Linked DNA regions of Xenopus tropicalis. The protein of the gene in region 1 interacts with the protein of each later gene in a biochemical or structural test. Links are inferred from orthologs where the notes say so. Each region holds a gene or a part of one and is shown on either strand. Other genes may lie near its edges.

Region 1 (6,471 bases):
TGCTGGCTAATTGATTGATCTGGATTATCACATGACCCCATTAGTGTATATAGAGAGAATAATGTACCCCCTGGTGTAAACATAGAGGTTGAGAGGCACAGGGGTTTGCAAGTGCATGTGATTTGTGGGGCTTATTCACTTTATCCTCGCGGGACTCCCAATGGATGTTACATTGCAACTCCCAGTACCCAGTAACCAGGCATTGATTCTTATGGCAGAGCTGAACTTGTGCCCTGGTCTTGCATTGCCTGACTTCCCCAACAATCTCCCTGTTACTATTTCAAGTGAATGACAGCACCTAGTGTAGGGTGTCACATGGGCCGCCAAAGGGTGCCTGCTCTGAGCAGAAGCAGCATGGCACTACCCACACACGGGCAGAGGGGGGCAGCATAAGCTTGCTGGTGAGGTATAGAGCTTATTAACTGCAATATAATTATCAGCGGCACAGAAGAGTGCACACATGGGTATAGGGAAGCCTATGGGGGGCTTGAACCCCAACACTGTATAGCAAGGGAGAGCCAGTTACTGGCACCCAGGATCCTTACTCAGCCCAACCCTGAAGCACAGAATAACCTATGTGCTAGATGGCACAGGCTGAACATGGTTATAGGCTTGTAACAAGGTAAAGGATGGCAAGGATATACTGGGGCATTGGGTGAGGGAAGTGCAGGAAGATGGTCAGTGTGTATTGGGCACCGGGGGCAGGAAAGGGCAGTGATGGAAAGTATATAGTAATGGGCAGATGGGCAGGGGTTAATAGGAAGTATATAGAGGTGGTCAGCGTATAGTGACACTCATATAGGTACAGGAGGGCAGAGGTTGGCATTATTCAGAGATGGTCATTGAATATAGAGGAAGTTAGTAGAATATAGAGGCAGGGAGTAGTGGGCAGAATTTAGAGGCAGGGAGTAGTGGGCAGAATATAGAGGTAGGCAGGGAGTAGTGGGCAGAATATAGAGGTAGGCAGGGAGTAGTGGGCAGAATATAGAGGTAGGCAGGGAGTAGTGGGCAGAATATAGAGGTAGGCAGGGAGTAGTGGGCAGAATTTAGAGCCAGGGAGTAGTGGGCAGAATATAGAGGCAGGGAGTAGTGGGCAGAGTGTTGAGGTAGGCAGGGAGTAGTGGGCAGAATATAGAGGCAGGGAGTAGTGGGCAGAGTATTGAAGTAGGCAGGGAGTAGTGGGCAGAATATAGAGGTAGGCAGGGAGTAGTGGGCAGAATATAGAGGTAGGCAGGGAGTAGTGGGCAGAATATAGAGGTAGGCAGGGAGTAGTGGGCAGAATATAGAGGCAGGGAGTAGTGGGCAGAATATAGAGGTAGGCAGGCAGTAGTGGGCAGAATATAGAGGTAGGCAGGGAGTAGTGGGCAGAGTATTGAGGTAGGCAGGGAGTAGTGGGCAGAATATAGAGGTAGGCAGGGAGTAGTGGGCAGAGTATTGAGGTAGGCAGGGAGTAGTGGGCAGAATATAGAGGTAGGCAGGGAGTAGTGGGCAGAATATAGAGGTAGGCAGGGAGTAGTGGGCAGAATATAGAGGTAGGCAGGGAGTAGTGGGCAGAATATAGAGGCAGGGAGTAGTGGGCAGAGTGTTGAGGTAGGCAGGGAGTAGTGGGCAGAATATAGAGGCAGGGAGTAGTGGGCAGAGTATTGAAGTAGGCAGGGAGTAGTGGGCAGAATATAGAGGTAGGCAGGGAGTAGTGGGCAGAATATAGAGGTAGGCAGGGAGTAGTGGGCAGAATATAGAGGTAGGCAGGAGTAGTGGGCAGAATATAGAGGTAGGCAGGGAGTAGTGGGCAGAATTTAGAGGCAGGGAGTAGTGGGCAGAATATAGAGGTAGGCAGGGAGTAGTGGGCAGAATATAGAGGTAGGCAGGGAGTAGTGGGCAGAATATAGAGGCAGGAGTAGTGGGCAGAGTGTTGAGGTAGGCAGGGAGTAGTGGGCAGAATATAGAGGCAGGGAGTAGTGGGCAGAGTATTGAAGTAGGCAGGGAGTAGTGGGCAGAATATAGAGGTAGGCAGGGAGTAGTGGGCAGAGTATTGAGGTAGGCAGGGAGTAGTGGGCAGAGTGTTGAGGTAGGCAGGGAGTAGTGGGCAGAGTGTTGAGGTAGGCAGGGAGTAGTGGGCAGTACTGACATTATACAGCAGGTACAGGAGGGCACAGGTTGGCACCGTATGTCGGGCAGTATGACGGGATGTATTTAGTGGGCACAGGACTGGGTGAGGGGAGGCAGAGTGGCATTTAGTGGGCACAGGACTGGGTGAGGGGATGCAGAGTGGCACTTAGTGGGCACAGGACTGAGTGAGGGGAGGCAGAGTGGCACTTAGTGGGCACAGGACTGGGTGAGGGGAGGCAGAGTGGCACTTAGTGGGCACAGGACTGGGTGAGGGGAGGCAGAGTGGCACTTAGTGGGCACAGGACTGGGTGAGGGGAGGCAGAGTGGCACTTAGTGGGCACAGGACTGGGTGAGGGGAGGCAGAGTGGCACTTAGTGGGCACAGGACTGGGTGAGGGGAGGCAGAGTGGCACTTAGTGGGCACAGGACTGGGTGAGGGGAGGCAGAGTGGCACTTAGTGGGCACAGGACTGAGTGAGGGGAGGCAGAGTGGCACTTAGTGGGCACAGGACTGAGTGAGGGGAGGCAGAGTGGCACTTAGTGGGCACAGGACTGGGCAGGGCGGTCCCACATGTGCAGCCCCAGCCCGGGGAGGCGCTCTCACTCCCCCTCCCTCCCCTCCCTCTATCCCTGTCCGGGCACTCTGGCCATGGCTTCCCCGGGCACGGCTCACCGGAGCGGGCTGCTGGAGCTGCGCTGTCCCGGGGAGCGCTGGGTGCGGGTACTGCTGCTGCTCGGAGAGGAGACTGTGACTTTCACCCCGGAGCCGGAGCCCGGGGCAGCGGAGGAGAAGGCGCTGAACGGCGCGGAGCCGGCGGGGGGGGTCCCGGAGTCTCTCATTAACCTGCGCCGGACTGTCAGGGTGCTCAAGCAGGATGCGGGGGGGCTGGGGGTCAGCATCAAGGGTAAGTACCCTGCTCGGAGCCCACCTTCCTTCTCTCCTGGGCTAACTCCCTGCTATGGTGCCCACTGGCATTACTAACTCCCTGCTATGGTGCCCACTGGCATTACTAACTCCCTGCTATGGTGCCCACTGGCATTACTAACTCCCTGCTATGGTGCCCACTGGCATTACTAACTCCCTGCTATGGTGCCCACTGGCATTACTAACTCCCTGCTATGGTGCCCACTGGCATTACTAACTCCCTGCTATGGTGCCCACTGGCATTACTAACTCCCTGCTATGGTGCCCACTGGCTTTACTAACTCCCTGCTATGGTGCCCACTGGCTTTACTAACTCCCTGCTATGGTGCCCACTGGCATTACTAACTCCCTGCTATGGTGCCCACTGGCTTTACTAACTCCCTGCTATGGTGCCCACTGGCTTTACTAACTCCCTGCTATGGTGCCCACTGGCATTACTAACTCCCTGCTATGGTGCCCACTGGCTTACTAACTCCCTGCTATGGTGCCCACTGGCTTTACTAACTCCCTGCTATGGTGCCCACTGGCATTACTAACTCCCTGCTATGGTGCCCACTGGCTTTACTAACTCCCTGCTATGGTGCCCACTGGCTTTACTAACTCCCTGCTATGGTGCCCACTGGCATTACTAACTCCCTGCTATGGTGCCCACTGGCTTTACTAACTCCCTGCTATGGTGCCCACTGGCTTTACTAACTCCCTGCTATGGTGCCCACTGGCATTACTAACTCCCTGCTATGGTGCCCACTGGCTTTACTTACTCCCTGCTATGGTGCCCACTGGCTTTACTAACTCCCTGCTATGGTGCCCACTGGCTTTACTAACTCCCTGCTATGGTGCCCACTGGCTTTACTAACTACCCTGCTATCATGCCAAGTCCTACACAGGCATTAACTGACTGTGCCCCCCTCTCCTTCTCCTGGGAATTCCTCACCAGTAACCAATCTTACAATGACTACTAACTAGCCCCCTAACGGTATGGCATTCCAGTGCCCTGCTACTATGCCCTGCTTTCCTACTGGCATTACTAACTACCCTGCTATAGTGCCCAGCACTGTTAATATTAACTAATGTAGTGCCCAGTTGAGGGCATTCCTACTTAGTACTCTATGATAGTGCCAAGTTCCACAGTGGCATAACAACCATGGTCCAGCTCTGTGTAGGGCATTTGACCATTGTACCCTGCTATAGCGCCCAGCTTCCACACTGACATTAGCCCAAAATAGTGTCCAGGGCACAATTACAAAGTATGCAGTGCCCAACTTTCCCTCCGGCAGTATTAACCCTCCCAGTGCAGTGCTACAGTGCCCAGCTTTCATACTGGCATTACTCACTACTTTGGTACAATAAACTCCCTGCCCACCTTTTTCTAGGGCATTTCTGGCTAATACCCCGATACTGTGCCCACATTTTACTTTGGCATTACTAAGTAGCCCAGTTCAGTGTTCTGCTTTCACTGTGGCATCACTTATTGCCCCTATTATAGTGCCTAGATTTCCCTCAGTACCCAAGAAATGCACCCACCTTCATTATGGTTAAGCCTGTCATTTTGTGCCAACCAGTGCTCATTATGTTGCCCAGCTCTGTGTGGCATTTCTATCCACCTCATTCTAGTGTGCATGCCAAATCTCAAGGCGGCATCCCAGCCTACCATGTTGTTGTGTATAACTCTAACTTGGCATTCCTGTCACTCTTATTATTATTCAGACCTCTCACTGTGCCCTCACCTCATTGTGCCATAATAATGTGTCTCTCTGGCAGTGCCAAAGCTACTACCTCAGTTCCCTTGGGATTTCATGCCCAACTCTCACTATGCTATTAATGCCTGCCAGCTTAATATGCCCATCTCTCATTATTTGTGCCAAACTGTGCCTCTTTCTGACTAAGCCAATGCCCCTTGCCTCGGTGCCCAACTCCCTATCCAGCTTACATGTAAATGATGGTGCCAATTATTGCCCTATATGTCCCGTGACTGTTGCTGGCAGTGCCCCAGCCCTGCGTCTGTACATCAGTGCCCCCTGTCACTCTCATTCATGGCTGCCCTTTCCTGCCTTTGTAGAGTTGCGTTACCACTGGGCTGAAATAGTGACGCTGGCATAGTTTGCCCCCATGTGTCAGTAGCACTTTCTATCTGGCCAGCCTCCAACTCTAGCTATTGCAACATGTTTATAGGGGGGAGGCTGGAACTTGCAGTAAGAGCTGAAGGGCTTCAGGTTGTATTATACCTAATTGGACCCACACAGAATATTTTGTCCTGGGCTCCCCTAGCCTTACTCTCCCCCCTTGGCTTGCCCACACACACACCCAGAGCCAAACACACTGCGGCACTAGTAAACTGATAGGCACCTAAACACTCACACACCAACAACTGCGCCACATTCCTGCCCAGTGAGGCAAGTGTCCAGCCACAATCACAGTGCGGCTTATCTCATAGGCCCCACAGCAGCAGGAAGAGGAGGCTCCTGGGAAAATGGCTTCTGATCTGCTAAATGGGGCCCCAAGTTCCCAGTTCTGTCAGACTGCAACCAAACTTCTCACACAATCAGAATCACTCTGGGCTCCCCCCGTCACAAACAGGGCAACGTGATTGCAACTAAAGGCTTTAGGAAACAGTAAGAGGGACATAGGGGTCACTGCCTCAGTTCCAAGGGACAAAATACTTGCAGGCATTAAAATAGAACATCTCCCTCTCTCTTATTGGCTGAGGAATGTCCCATGCTGTTATATTGGTTTGTTTGGGAGGGGGGACACTGCCGGGACTGCCTTTCCTCCCTGCCCCCCAACACCTACTCTCCCTGCAGCACAAAGGAGCGTGGGAAATTTAAGGGACATGATATAGTGTATATTCATGTACCAGAATATTATAGGAATCTTGCATTTTGGAACTTCTTAAGACTTTTAAAGGGGAAGTTAAGCTTGAAATTAATTTTGTTCTGGTTTTATTGCATTGGCATTATAGGCAAAGTCTGAACGCTGAATGTTTTTGTTGGAAAAATGGAGGGTCCGGACTCCGTTTGTGGCGGGCTGCTCACTCAGCCTTACTCTGTCACATAACTGCTAATCCTAAAATAGCAGCGGCTTGCATGTCAGATTTAGCTGAAGCCTGTTGCTGTCTTTCTAAAGGGTCAGCCGCTTGTAGGAAATGATCAAGGACTCACAGTATCCTGGGGCAGAGAGTTGCAGGAAAAATGTATTGGCCTGTGAATGGTGAATGAAAACCTGCCCAACCAATATCTGCCTGCAGATCAGCTGGTTAAAAAATCAGGTGATGACTGCATTGGCATATTGATACCGTTCTCTCCCAGCAGGTCCCCTGAGGCGCTATTTAGGGTCACATTGTTGGGATGGTGGCCAAATCAGGCACAGATCTACTGGTTTGCATAGCAAGCTTTAGGTCCAAACTTTTCTAACGGCAGTGACATGTTTATGGGCTCAGTCC
Region 2 (5,956 bases), on another chromosome or scaffold:
CACCCCCACCCCAAACACCCCCCCATCCCCTTCACATAAATATAACCCCCCACCCCATCCCACCCCCCCAAACATAACCCCATCCCCTTCACATAAGTATAACCCACCCACCCCCACCCATCCCCTTCACATAAAATATAATTACTGGCCAGGCACCCCCCGACAGCTCACATTGGTATCCGACTCTGAATGCGTCCTAGCGATGGCGCTTTTGTAGAGTGTGCGCGCTGACGTCACGCGCGCACCCGGAAGTATTCAGCACACCGGTATGGGGGTATGTCGAAAATTCATATCGGTTTCAAAAAAAAAACCGGTGATCGGTTTTTACCGGTATACCGCCCAGCACTAGCTTGATCCACCATTTAGTGATGGGCTTTGTGCTGCCTCAGAGATCACCTGACAGGAAATAATGTAGCTCTAACTGTAACAGGAAGTAGTGTGGAAGCAAAAGCAGAGCTCTGCCCATTCATTTGCTGATATAACCTAACATGTATGTGTTCCTTGGCTTGTTTGTGTGCACTGTGACTCCTATGATCCCAAGAGGCGGCTCTTAATTCTTAAAATTTTAATTTTCTATTTCGCATTACCCAATAGCACATACTACTAAAAAGTATATTGTTATGAAAATGGTTCATTTAGATGAAGCAGGGTTTTACATATAAGCTTGTTTATGCAATATATATTTATAGAGACCTACTTTGTTTGGGGGTATAGGTTTCCTTTAAGACACGGTTTCTCTGAATGCTCCCCTCTACTGTAATCAGACACTGCAACACTTTCTATCTGTGCATAACTCACCATGGTGGTGGAGATAAGTTAGATGAAAAGCAGGTTTTTAAATTCTTTTGTCAGCCTTGCTGCAGAATACAGCTTACCCCAAACTGATAGTTAAAACTGAGCAGTACTACATGGTTCTTGCAAGTGTGTATATGCAAATAATTAAACTTTAATTAATCTTTCATATATTCTACATATAGCTTTTCAGACAGAGGGGAAACTTTACTTAATCCTGGATTTTCTACGGGGAGGAGATCTATTTACACGTCTGTCCAAGGAGGTTGGTATTAGAAATGAATTTTTCCCTTTACTTTGATCTGAATTTAAACCACTCTTCAACAATTCAACGCTGTGACCCCTGGAATTTTCCCTTTCTACTATATATAAAAATAATAATGCTTTGGGATTATGTAAGAATTACTTATGTGAATTAATTTAAATGTATTTTTAATATAGGTAATGTTCACAGAAGAAGATGTGAAGTTTTACCTAGCGGAACTGGCTTTGGGTCTTGATCATTTGCACAGCTTAGGGATCATCTACCGTGACCTAAAACCTGAAAAGTATGTTGGTGAGCCAGGCATTAAGGCAGTTTGACTGCACTGCACTGTTGGTTTGACTGCATGTGTGTTGAGATAGTGTAGGTCAGTGCTGTCCAATTTATGTGGTATTGTACATGGTGAAGGGCCAATAATGGAAGCCAATTTAGGCCACCCCCTTTTTTAAACTGCGTCCACTTTAAGCCACACCCATGTAATCACAAGTGCTTTTAAGACCATACCCAAATTAATGGTGGCAGTGCAGGAAAAACCAAAATGATTGGTGCTTACTGTAGGGAAATCACCCTTTTTTCATATGTAAAAGAAGTTTATGCACCGAATCCAGGATTCAATTCAGTATTTTTTGGCAGGTTTCTGTTTCGGGCCGAATCCATGGTCCTGGCCGAACTGAATCCTAATTCACATAAATTAGCATATGATAATTAGCACTTGAAAGTACAAATGTTAGGGGGAAAATATTTTCCCGCTGCGCACATGCACCCCGAGTTTTACCACTTTCAGATCCTAATTAGCATATGCTAATTAGGATTTGGCTTGGGGTTCGGCTGAATCCAAAAAACTGGGTTCGGTGCATCCCTAATATTAAGACATATGCTTCCCCTGTGGATAACATAGCAACCCCCAGCACATAATTACACACCATAGGTTCCATATAATGACTAGTTCCAAATACTCCCAGAACAAACCTCTGCCAGGTTTACCTCCCACAGGCAGCATAGGGCAGGCAGTGTATGGCACACACAGAGGCAGTATAGGGCAGGCAGAGAATGGCACACACAGGCAGCATAGGGCAGGCAGAGTATGGCACACACAGGCAGCATAGGGCAAGCAGAGTATGGCACACACAGGCAGCATAGGGCAAGCAGTGTATGGAACACACACAGGCAGTATAGGGCAGGCAGAGTATGGCGCACACAGGCAGCATAGGTCAGGCAGAGTATGGCACACACAGGCAGCATAGGGGTAGCAGAGTATGGCACACACAGGCAGCATAGGGGTAGCAGAGTATGGCACACACAGAGGCAGTATAGGGCAGGCAGTGTATGGCACACACAGAGGCAGTATAGGGCAGGCAGAGAATGGCACACACAGGCAGCATAGGGCAGGCAGAGTATGGCACACACAGGCAGCATAGGTCAGGCAGAATATGGCACACATAGGCAGCATAGGCCAGGCAGAGAACATAAAGTGACACAATCTGTTACTGCTCCTACAGTCTGTCTGAGATGTGAACAGTGTGAGTGCTTACAGTTTGAGCCTTTGTTGTGAATAATGCAGCGACTAAAAGGTGTGAACAATACATGGAGATGACAGGTGTGAATAACACAGGGGTTTAAAGCCTGAATCTGAGGTGTGAACAATGGAAGGGGCCAGTTAATCACAGTAATGATACCATTTAAAGCAGCCACAACAGTCAGGCAGGTGGGGGGGCCACAGAGGGGGGCTCCTGGCCAGCAGTTGGACAGCACTGGCATAGGTCAATCTTACCTTTAAGCATGAAATGGAACACTTTTCTTAGTATAATTAGCATCCTTACATGTGTGCAATAAAAAAAAGTTCCATTTCACTGATTAAAGGTAAGATTGACTTATGCTATCTCAACATACAAAATGAAATTAAATATTGTTACTGTTTCCAAAATTATAGGGGTTACTGCTACTGGGCGCTCTTAGTGCCTTTTTTTGACATATGGGGGTTTGGTGTATAGGTACTTTGCTCAGGCATATTGTTTATTTTTTCTAAATAAAAGCAACAATAAAAGTTTATCTGCACTTATTCTTAAAGGAGAAGGAAAGTCTAAGTCACTTGGGGCTGCCAAAATGTTAGGCACCCCCAAGTGACTTAAATCGCTTACCTTGTACCCCGGGCTGGTGCCCCTGTTCGGAGAAAACCGCACCAGCCCGGGGTAGCTGTAGCGAGTGCTTCCTCCTTCCGTGTTTCTTCTGCCGGCAAAATCCCTGGGCCAGAGCATGCGCATTAGAGTGAAAAGCCAACTTTTTTGTTAAAGTTCGGCTTTCGCTCTACTGAGCAAGCACAAACGCGGAACTGCTCACTACAGGTACCCTGGGCTGGTGTGGTTTTCTCCGAACAGGGGCACCAGCCAGGGGTACAAGGTAAGCGCTTAAAGTCACTTGGGGGTACCTAACATTTTGGCACCGCCTTTCCTTCTCCTTTAGAACCTCATAAAGAACACAGGTGTGGTTTAACATCAAATGATGGCTGTTAACTAAAAAAAAGATACATACCACAGTTGTTTACTTTATATCATTGTGAGTGGCACGTGGTGGTAACATCTGCCTTTCTCTGTGCTGTGCAGCATTCTCTTGGATGAAGAGGGCCATATAAAGCTTACTGGTATGTTTCTGTGAACTGTTTGTGTTCCCATCCCTGTGTATCCACTCCGATTCCTGGTGTTGTCTGATACCAATCTCTTGTGTTGGGACCATTCTTCTATACATGCAGGCTTTTGACAAACTTGGAACAAGCTTCATAATTTTCTCTGTCTCTTTTTTTGTGTGTGCACCTGTGTAACATCTAATTGGATACTTGGCATTACCCTGATCAGATTTTGGGCTAAGTAAAGAGGCAATAGACCATGAAAAAAAGGCTTATTCTTTTTGTGGGACTGTGGAGTATATGGCTCCTGAAGTAGTGAATCGACAAGGACATTCGCACAGTGCAGACTGGTGGTCTTATGGCGTGCTTATGGTAAGCTGTTTGCTTATATCTAGATAAACACAAAACAATTTATTTTACCTTTTCTCCTATTGGTATCTGTTCTTTCAGTCTCTTTCAGATTACTGGTTCCATTTTTGCCATTTCAATAATTTCTGAATGTTTCCATATTCACAGTTTGAGATGCTGACAGGATCACTGCCATTCCAGGGCAAAGACCGTAAGGAAACCATGACTCTAATCCTGAAGTAAGTAGAAAATTGGAAAATCTAGGGTGTCCGTAGAAAACTATAGCTGAAATACAAGTTACTATATGAAAGAATGGTTTGTAATGTTCACAGTTGTATATAAGTTTCACTGTCAGCAAACTAAAAAGTAGCTTAAAATTTGGTACAGAATGAGCAATTCTTATCCTCAAAAATCAAATGTGAGCTGCTGCTAGAACAACAAAGTTAATGCTTAGTAAAAGCAAGTTAAGAGTTATTTCTTTATGAAAATGTTATAGCCATTTTTATAACAGCACAAATGAAGAAAAATTCACATCAGGGAAGGAATACCACCAGAATTCTAGCATAATGTTGGTACTCGCAAAGTAGCATATTCTGGAACTTACAAACTGAGGGCACTTCAGTATTCTTTTGCCCCTGTAGCTGCATTTATTTGTTGACATAACTCATCAGTTTTAAGTGCAGGAGAGGGCAAGCTGTCTTATAGCGGTCAAGGGACATAATCATTTAGGAATACCTTGCAGTAATGGGTAGCATGAAGAAAGGAAAGAAAAAAAAAAACATATATAAATTGTACTTTGGTTTGTAGATAGACCTTCTTTTTAAATCAAAATTCGTTTTAGTGGTATTGTAGTTTATCCTGCTCACTTCAATTTTCTGCCTTAGAGCCAAACTAGGGATGCCTCAGTTTCTTAGCAATGAAGCACAGGGTCTATTACGCTCTCTCTTCAAAAGGAATCCTACTAATCGTTTAGGTAAGTAATAATTACAATCTACTAATAAACTTATTTGTTCATAAAATGAGAAGAGTAATATACATCAACATAATTCTTTTGGCATGTTTTTCAGGATCTGGTGTTGAAGGGGCTGAAGAGATTAAGCGCCATCCCTTCTTCTCGACCATTGATTGGAATGTACGTTTTTCTCTACTGCCACCATGATTTTCAAATAACTTAGAGCAAATTATTATTATTATTGCCTTCAGATTGACAGAATATTTATTATCTTAAAACCTTGCTTACTGAAAGTATAAGGAGAAAGCAATTAATAGAGAAAAGCACAAACTGAGCAATGTGTTTACTTTGCAAATGTATCAGTGTCATGGTTTTGGTATAAACTTGATTGCATTAGGTGAAGTAACCAAGGCATCATTCTGTGGAGTCTTGAATCAAAACTGTTTGCTTCCCATAGCAACCAATTATAAATATTTGCTCTAAAACAAAAATACTTACCATCATGTTTTCACACCTATGCTAATGTACTCAAGAAAAGATGATTACTTGAAATTAAACTACATTTAATAAATCCAGCTCCAGCTGTTGTAGTATTCTATGTTGATTCAGCATAAATACTGATCTATAACCTACAGCAACTGTTCAGCAGGTAGCATTTTTTTATTTTTATTTTATAACCCCTCAGTTACATTAGAAATAATGCACTAGTCATACAATGAGAGCAGTAGCTTCGTTGATGCTGCAGTGTTCTAATGTATTTAAATATTAAAGAGTTGCAAAGGCTGAACTGATTTATCTATACAAGCAAAGACAATTAATGCACTGTAAAATGTGGGGTTCAGGAGCATAAGCTCCAGAACTAAAACTAGGAGAAGTGGATAAATCTGGGATTTCTTTTTTTTTTTTTAAATCATTTTTACATTTGCTTAACTGGCCTGAGTGTGTGGTCCACAAGTGCCTAACTCTTGTGTTACTGAACTGA
Region 3 (5,956 bases), about 26 Mb from region 1:
AGTGCAAGCGGACACATGTATCTCAAAAGTTTATTTTGTAAGTATGGCAAAGGGTCTTTGTGTTACAGAAGTATGTGGCGAAATTAGAAGCAGTGTTTATTTCTTTACATCCGACAACCAAAAAGAGGGTTGGCCAAATTTACCTCCACACTGGTAGCCAAATTTCCAACATAAATTTCCAATTAGAAGCAGTGTTTATTTCTCTACATCTGACAACCAAAACAAAGGTTGGCCAAGTTTACCTACACACTGATAGCCAAATTTCCAACACAAACCATGATCTGATCATTGGGTAGATGCCCCAGAGATCAGTACAGCTCAGGCATTCACTTGTTAGTCCAATATCTGGCTTATCATACTTTGCTGGAGGATCTACCATTTTGTTTCACTCTTCGATAATTCTTCTTAGACTATATAATGATCTTCATATTGCACACCTGCTCTTTACTTTAAAAAAAGGCTTTTTAATGCTGCATACATATATTGCATAGAGATACATCATGCCTTCCACTCTCCCATTATCCACTTTTTCCCTTTCCAAAACTCTCCAGTCAATCTTGTTGCTCCCCAACCCCTTGGATGTTGCTCCCAGAGGCCTCAAAGCAGATGCTCATTCTTGAATTTCTGGCTTGGAGGCAAGTTATGGTTGCATAAAAGCCAAGTATAATGCCAAACAGAGCCTTCTGTAGGCTGCCAGTCCACATAGGGGCTATTAAGTAGCCAATTATAGCTCTTATTGGCACCCCCAGGAAACTTTCTTATGCTTGTGTTGCTCCCCAACACTTTTTCAGTTTGAATGTGGCTCTTTAGGGTATGGCCTAGCAAGACGTTGAGTTGCCATTATTGGAAGCATGGCCTACATGGAAACACTGACTAGAGACATGGAACAGCCAAGCCAAAAAAGCTGTAGCTTGTATGAATCTGATCTCTACAAACTCACAGTAATTTCATGCAATATAAAGTCTTAAGAGGCTGCTATTTATAAAGTATTGCCAAAGATAATTGGACCAAATGTTCAAGCTTTAATCACACACTGTGCCTCTTCTGCCCCCGTTTTTATAAACCAGAACTACAGGAAGAATGGGGCTTATTTGTTGTTGTTTTCAAACGTGTTCCATGCCAATAACACAGCTCCAAAGCACATGCTGTTTGTCACGTACAAATATAGGCCCAATGCTATTTCCTCCAGAATTCCTTTAAGGCTAAAACAGGACATTAAGAGGAAGCAACTCAAGTAGCTTAGTAATCCTGTCAGAAAATAGAAATCCAAAAGCGAGTGTCTGGGTACCTAACTGCAGTATTAAACAAATGGGAGACAAGATGTCAGTGTAAAGGTTCTATTTACATGCTCTGAGCGGTACCACTAAGAGCTGGTTATTGTTTTCAGATGTGCTGTTGGCACTACTGGGGGGCATCACACAAGCAGTTTACAAGGGCTTCATACACACAGGATTTTTTCCATTTAAGATTTATTAAGGTTTTATTTGCGAACAGGGAAAAGGTGCAAAGTGCAAAAAGAAGGTGAATATTTGTTACAATGAACCTAGCCCCCCATGTTTTGTGCCAGTCACTGCCAGGTGCCAATCTTTGCAGCTCAGAGCATTTTTAGCAAGGAATTTGAGTGCAGCTTGTGGGATACGGAATGCCTTCATGGCTCTCTCGGCTAGCCCCTTAATACCTCCCAACCGTCCCGCTTTTAGCGGGACAGTCCCGATATTATAGCACTTCCCGCTGTCCCAGATTTATTGTTGGATGTCCCGCTTCTCAGCATTGCCATTTAATTGATTGCTGTGCCTGCTCTGCTCTGGGAAAAAAAGCCTGCCCCCTTAACTCTTGAATCTTCCCTGCTACCTCAAGCTCACAGGTTTACCTTGATCTGGGAGGAGCATTTGTGACAGGCAAGGGCCAACTATCAGCATTGGCTGCATTCCTCTCCTTGCTCCTGCTCACTGGGTCAGGGGCTGAGGGGGGCTCTGTCTTTTATCAGGCAGAAGAGGCTGCTGCCTTTATTTGTGTGCTGGGCAGTTTCACCTTCCCACCCCTAACATATCTCTCTCACTCCTGTGAATCTCTGGCAGAGCACAGCATGCAGGGGAATAGGAGACAGAGGTATCGCTGATCCGTTCACAAAATATAGCAGACATTTAAAAAGGGCCCTTATAAGTTTGGGAACCTTAGGCTGGCCTTGATAATATGGCTAGAAATTCTAGTGGTACATTAATATTGTATTGCTTTCAACTGATTAAGAATGGAAGGAAATAACATAGATTTATGTACCACTGGAATTGGCCCTGTTTATAACTTTGGCAAATGCACAGAACTGTTGGCATGTCTGAAGTTGATATGCCCTCTATCAATTTCATGTAGTAATTTAACTGGGATGTCTGGGGTTAATATGCCCTTTATCAATTTAATGTAGTCATACTGGCACATTTGAAGTTAATTTGTCCTTTTATTTAGTGATTATACTGGCACATCTGGGGCATGTAAAGTGGGTGTTGCATGTGGGGCGTGGTCACAAAGCAGGCGTGGCCAAAAAAATTTGCCACACTACCCACGTCACATATTTTTGTGCCTCTTTCTCTTAATGAAATGTTGGGAGGTATGCCCTTATGACTACAGTGCTGCCAAAAGCAGGCAGCAGTATTCATTTGGGAGGCCTAGGGCCTAGGTTAAAAGTATGGCTGAAATAATACACCTATTAGTGAACCCGCCTTTGCACCCCCCTGTTAGCAAACTGATGTATTTTCTCCTTTATCGTGTGCATGTATATTTATTTCACTTCATTTACGTTTCTATTTTAAAACCATATTCAGATTTACCTATAGGGCTTATCCTAATACATTAACTCTCAGTCTTAAATGCTGATACAAATGCCCTCAGCATGCATGGGAGAAGTAACAGGAAAAACACTTGTAGGGTAGGATCCAATACATTTTTTATACCCCTACAAATCTTTTCTGGCTGTTGAGAAGCTTCTTGTGCATTGAGAGTATGAAATTTCAGGAGAGGAGAATGTGTACCATCAGTAATAAATCCAAACTTCCTTTCATACAATCTATGGTTATTTGATCCCTCTGAATGTGTGAAATTTGGGCTGCGTGTGTCCCTGGGCTGGGGCGGCCTGCCTCTCAATAAAGCACCTGATCAAACTGGAAACAGGGAAATAGTTGTCAATATCAGGATGGAAACACCAAGATTCTTTTATTAGTAAATTTGCCTTCATTTAATGACACTGCCCAATACTTTTCTTTAGGTCCTCAATCTCTTTTTGGCTTTGTTGCTGAGTTCCTTCAGCGCGGATAACTTGTCGGCTTCGGACGACGATGGGGAGATGAACAACCTGCAGATCGCCATCGGAAGGATCACCAGGGGCATTGACTTTGTGAAGAAAACCTTCTTCTCCATCCTACATTACAAGAGGAAGGCAAAAGCTGAGCAGGAGGAAGAGGACCCTAACAAAGAAAACATTGCTCTGAACCATGTAGAGACAGAACCAGAACCCAAGATAGAACTAGAACCCAGGACAGAACCAGAACCCAAAAAAGAACCTCCACTGATTGATGGCGTGACTAAAAAACGTTATTACATGGATGAGTTTGACCACGCTAATTTTTTTAACAACCCACACATGAGAATAGAAGTACCTATTGCCTCAGAAGAGTCCGACTTCGACATTCCAGACACGGATGAGTTTAGCACACAGTCGGAGGTAGAGGAAGGGATTTTACACCACAAGGTATGAATACAATGCATACTTGTGAAATGTAATGTTCTTCAGTATCAGGACATGACCTGCTTGTTTATAACCTGTGTTCCCATCACAGAGATAAGAAGAAAATAGTTTCATGTATCTTTCACCTCCCTGTATTTCTCCAGGATAGGTATAGAAGTTCACTGATTGTCATGGTTTAGACCAAACCTGACTGGTGTAGGCATCTTTTTTTTTTTTTTTACTAGAAATGGTGCTCATTATCTTAATACCCATTGGCTAGATCCCAAAGAAGTCCACTTTATACAAGTTATAAGTTTAAAGTTTTTTGGAGAAACTCTATATTTTATGCTGTGGGGGAAAAAATATTGTTACTATAGACACTTTTTTTGTAAAACTACCTTGGCCTTTTATATAAAATTATGACTTTTGTCCTAGAGTCCATCTCACCCTATGCACTCACTGAAAAACTCTCAATTAAGTGGGGTCTTGTCTGGGTTGGACTAAAGTCCTTTGACCTGTATTTATAAAACATGCAGTGTGACATTGATGACATTTCTTTTTCCGCATCAGAAGTACGATGATGGCTCGTCAGTGTGTAGCACAGCAGATTATAAACCTCCTGAACCTGAAGAGGAAGAGGAGGCCTTTGAACACAAAGAAGACGAAGGCCCAGAAGAATGCTTTACTGCTGGTATGGAGAAAAGTAAAACTTCCATTCTGTGTACACAAAGGGATATTATTATGAAATGTGAGATCTGCTACAGTTAAGCAGTAGTCGCTACATTTCAAGTAATACAGAGAGGCAAGAATAAAACTTGCCAATACATGACAAAGTCAGACCAAAAACGTCACTAAGGAGTGAACTACAGCTTCTACTATTTAAAAATACTCTGTTTGTATAAACTTAGTAACAAGTGGTTGCTCTCCCATTTCCAAATTTTCTTCTTTTTTGTTGGCGTGGCCAGCATCAAGCTGGCTAACAGTTGTTCTAAAATAAAAGAGATCTCCTCTAAAGTGAGGTGAGGCTGAGTTATACAGGGAACTCTGAGTATCATTCATGTATTATAAGGGATAATGTACCCCCTACTGTAAAGGATAAGGATATTAGAAGTCACTGAGGGGTTCTGTGACCATATAAAGGCACAAAGCTGCAGGCTGAGTTATACAGGGAACTCTGAGTATCACTCATGTATTATAAGGGATAATTTACCCCTACTGTAAATTATAAGGATATTAGAAGTCACTGAGGGGTTCTGTGCCCATATAAAGGCACAAGGCTGCAGGCTGAGTTATACAGGGAACTCTGAGTATCACTCATGTATTATATGGGATAATGTACCCCCTACTGTAAATGATAAGGATATTAGCAGTCACTGAGGGGTTCTGTGCCCATATAAAGGCACAAGGCTGCAGGCTGAGTTATACAGGGTACTCTGAGTATCACTCATGTATTATAAGGGATAATGTACCCCCTACTGTAAATGATAAGGATATTAGCAGTCACTGAGGGGTTCTGTGCCCATATAAAGGCACAAGGCTGCAGGCTGAGTTATACAGGGAGCTCTGAGTATCACTCATGTATTATAAGGGATAATGTACCCCCTACTGTAAATGATAAGGATATTAGCAGTCACTGAGGGGTTCTGTGCCCATATAAAGGCACAAGGCTGCAGGCTGAGTTATACAGGGAACTCTGAGTGGTTCTGTGACTATATAAAAGCACAGGGTTGAGACATGCAGGTAATATAATTCAGTGAACTGTGTAAAGTACGTCTATCTATAGAGGCCATAGCTGCATGTTCTGCACCAAGAAAATTGCTACAGTCCACATGTACAACTAAACACACTCATATATTTATATATTGATGATAGACAGACAGACAGATAGATAGATAGATAGATAGATAGATAGATAGATAGATATTAAATGGATATTGTACCTATACCCTGGGTCCATACAGAAGAAAACTAAATGTAGAACCACAGTTCGTCTAATTAAATAGCTCTCCTATATTTGTTTTTAAAGACTGTGTACGAAGATGCCCTTGTCTTTATGTCGACATCACAACAGAAAAAGGGAAAATTTGGTGGAACATTCGGAAAACATGTTTCCAGATTGTGGAGCATAACTGGTTTGAAACCTTCATCATCTTCATGATCTTACTCAGTAGTGGAGCACTGGTGAGTATATAATACCTTGTCCCCATATCACTTAACAACAAGAAAGCTTATGCACAGTAT

What was found. The genes of interacting proteins can lie anywhere in the genome.
Region 2: the proteins of snta1 (region 1) and rps6ka1 interact in a test that uses a peptide from one of them, tested with the Homo sapiens proteins (2 studies listed by BioGRID and IntAct, with this or other methods). The link is inferred for Xenopus tropicalis from reciprocal best matches to the Homo sapiens genes SNTA1 and RPS6KA1.
Region 3: the proteins of snta1 (region 1) and scn4a interact in a test that uses a peptide from one of them, tested with the Homo sapiens proteins (2 studies listed by BioGRID and IntAct). The link is inferred for Xenopus tropicalis from reciprocal best matches to the Homo sapiens genes SNTA1 and SCN4A.

What each region holds. Positions count from the first base shown.
Region 1 is NC_030686.2:41,866,939-41,873,409, forward strand, and holds the start of snta1 (alpha-1-syntrophin), read left to right. Parts: upstream 1-2,713; 5' UTR 2,714-2,756; coding exon 2,757-3,012; intron 3,013-6,471. UniProt on the Homo sapiens protein: Adapter protein that binds to and probably organizes the subcellular localization of a variety of membrane proteins. May link various receptors to the actin cytoskeleton and the extracellular matrix via the dystrophin glycoprotein complex.
Region 2 is NC_030678.2:77,647,847-77,653,802, forward strand, and holds part of rps6ka1 (ribosomal protein S6 kinase alpha-1), read left to right. Parts: intron 1-977; coding exon 978-1,057; intron 1,058-1,233; coding exon 1,234-1,340; intron 1,341-3,654; coding exon 3,655-3,692; intron 3,693-3,903; coding exon 3,904-4,046; intron 4,047-4,190; coding exon 4,191-4,261; intron 4,262-4,906; coding exon 4,907-4,995; intron 4,996-5,089; coding exon 5,090-5,154; intron 5,155-5,956. UniProt on the Homo sapiens protein: Serine/threonine-protein kinase that acts downstream of ERK (MAPK1/ERK2 and MAPK3/ERK1) signaling and mediates mitogenic and stress-induced activation of the transcription factors CREB1, ETV1/ER81 and NR4A1/NUR77, regulates translation through RPS6 and EIF4B phosphorylation, and mediates cellular proliferation, survival, and differentiation by modulating mTOR signaling and repressing pro-apoptotic function of BAD and DAPK1.
Region 3 is NC_030686.2:15,623,498-15,629,453, reverse strand, and holds part of scn4a (sodium channel protein type 4 subunit alpha), read left to right. Parts: intron 1-3,256; coding exon 3,257-3,739; intron 3,740-4,285; coding exon 4,286-4,406; intron 4,407-5,741; coding exon 5,742-5,896; intron 5,897-5,956. UniProt on the Homo sapiens protein: Pore-forming subunit of Nav1.4, a voltage-gated sodium (Nav) channel that directly mediates the depolarizing phase of action potentials in excitable membranes.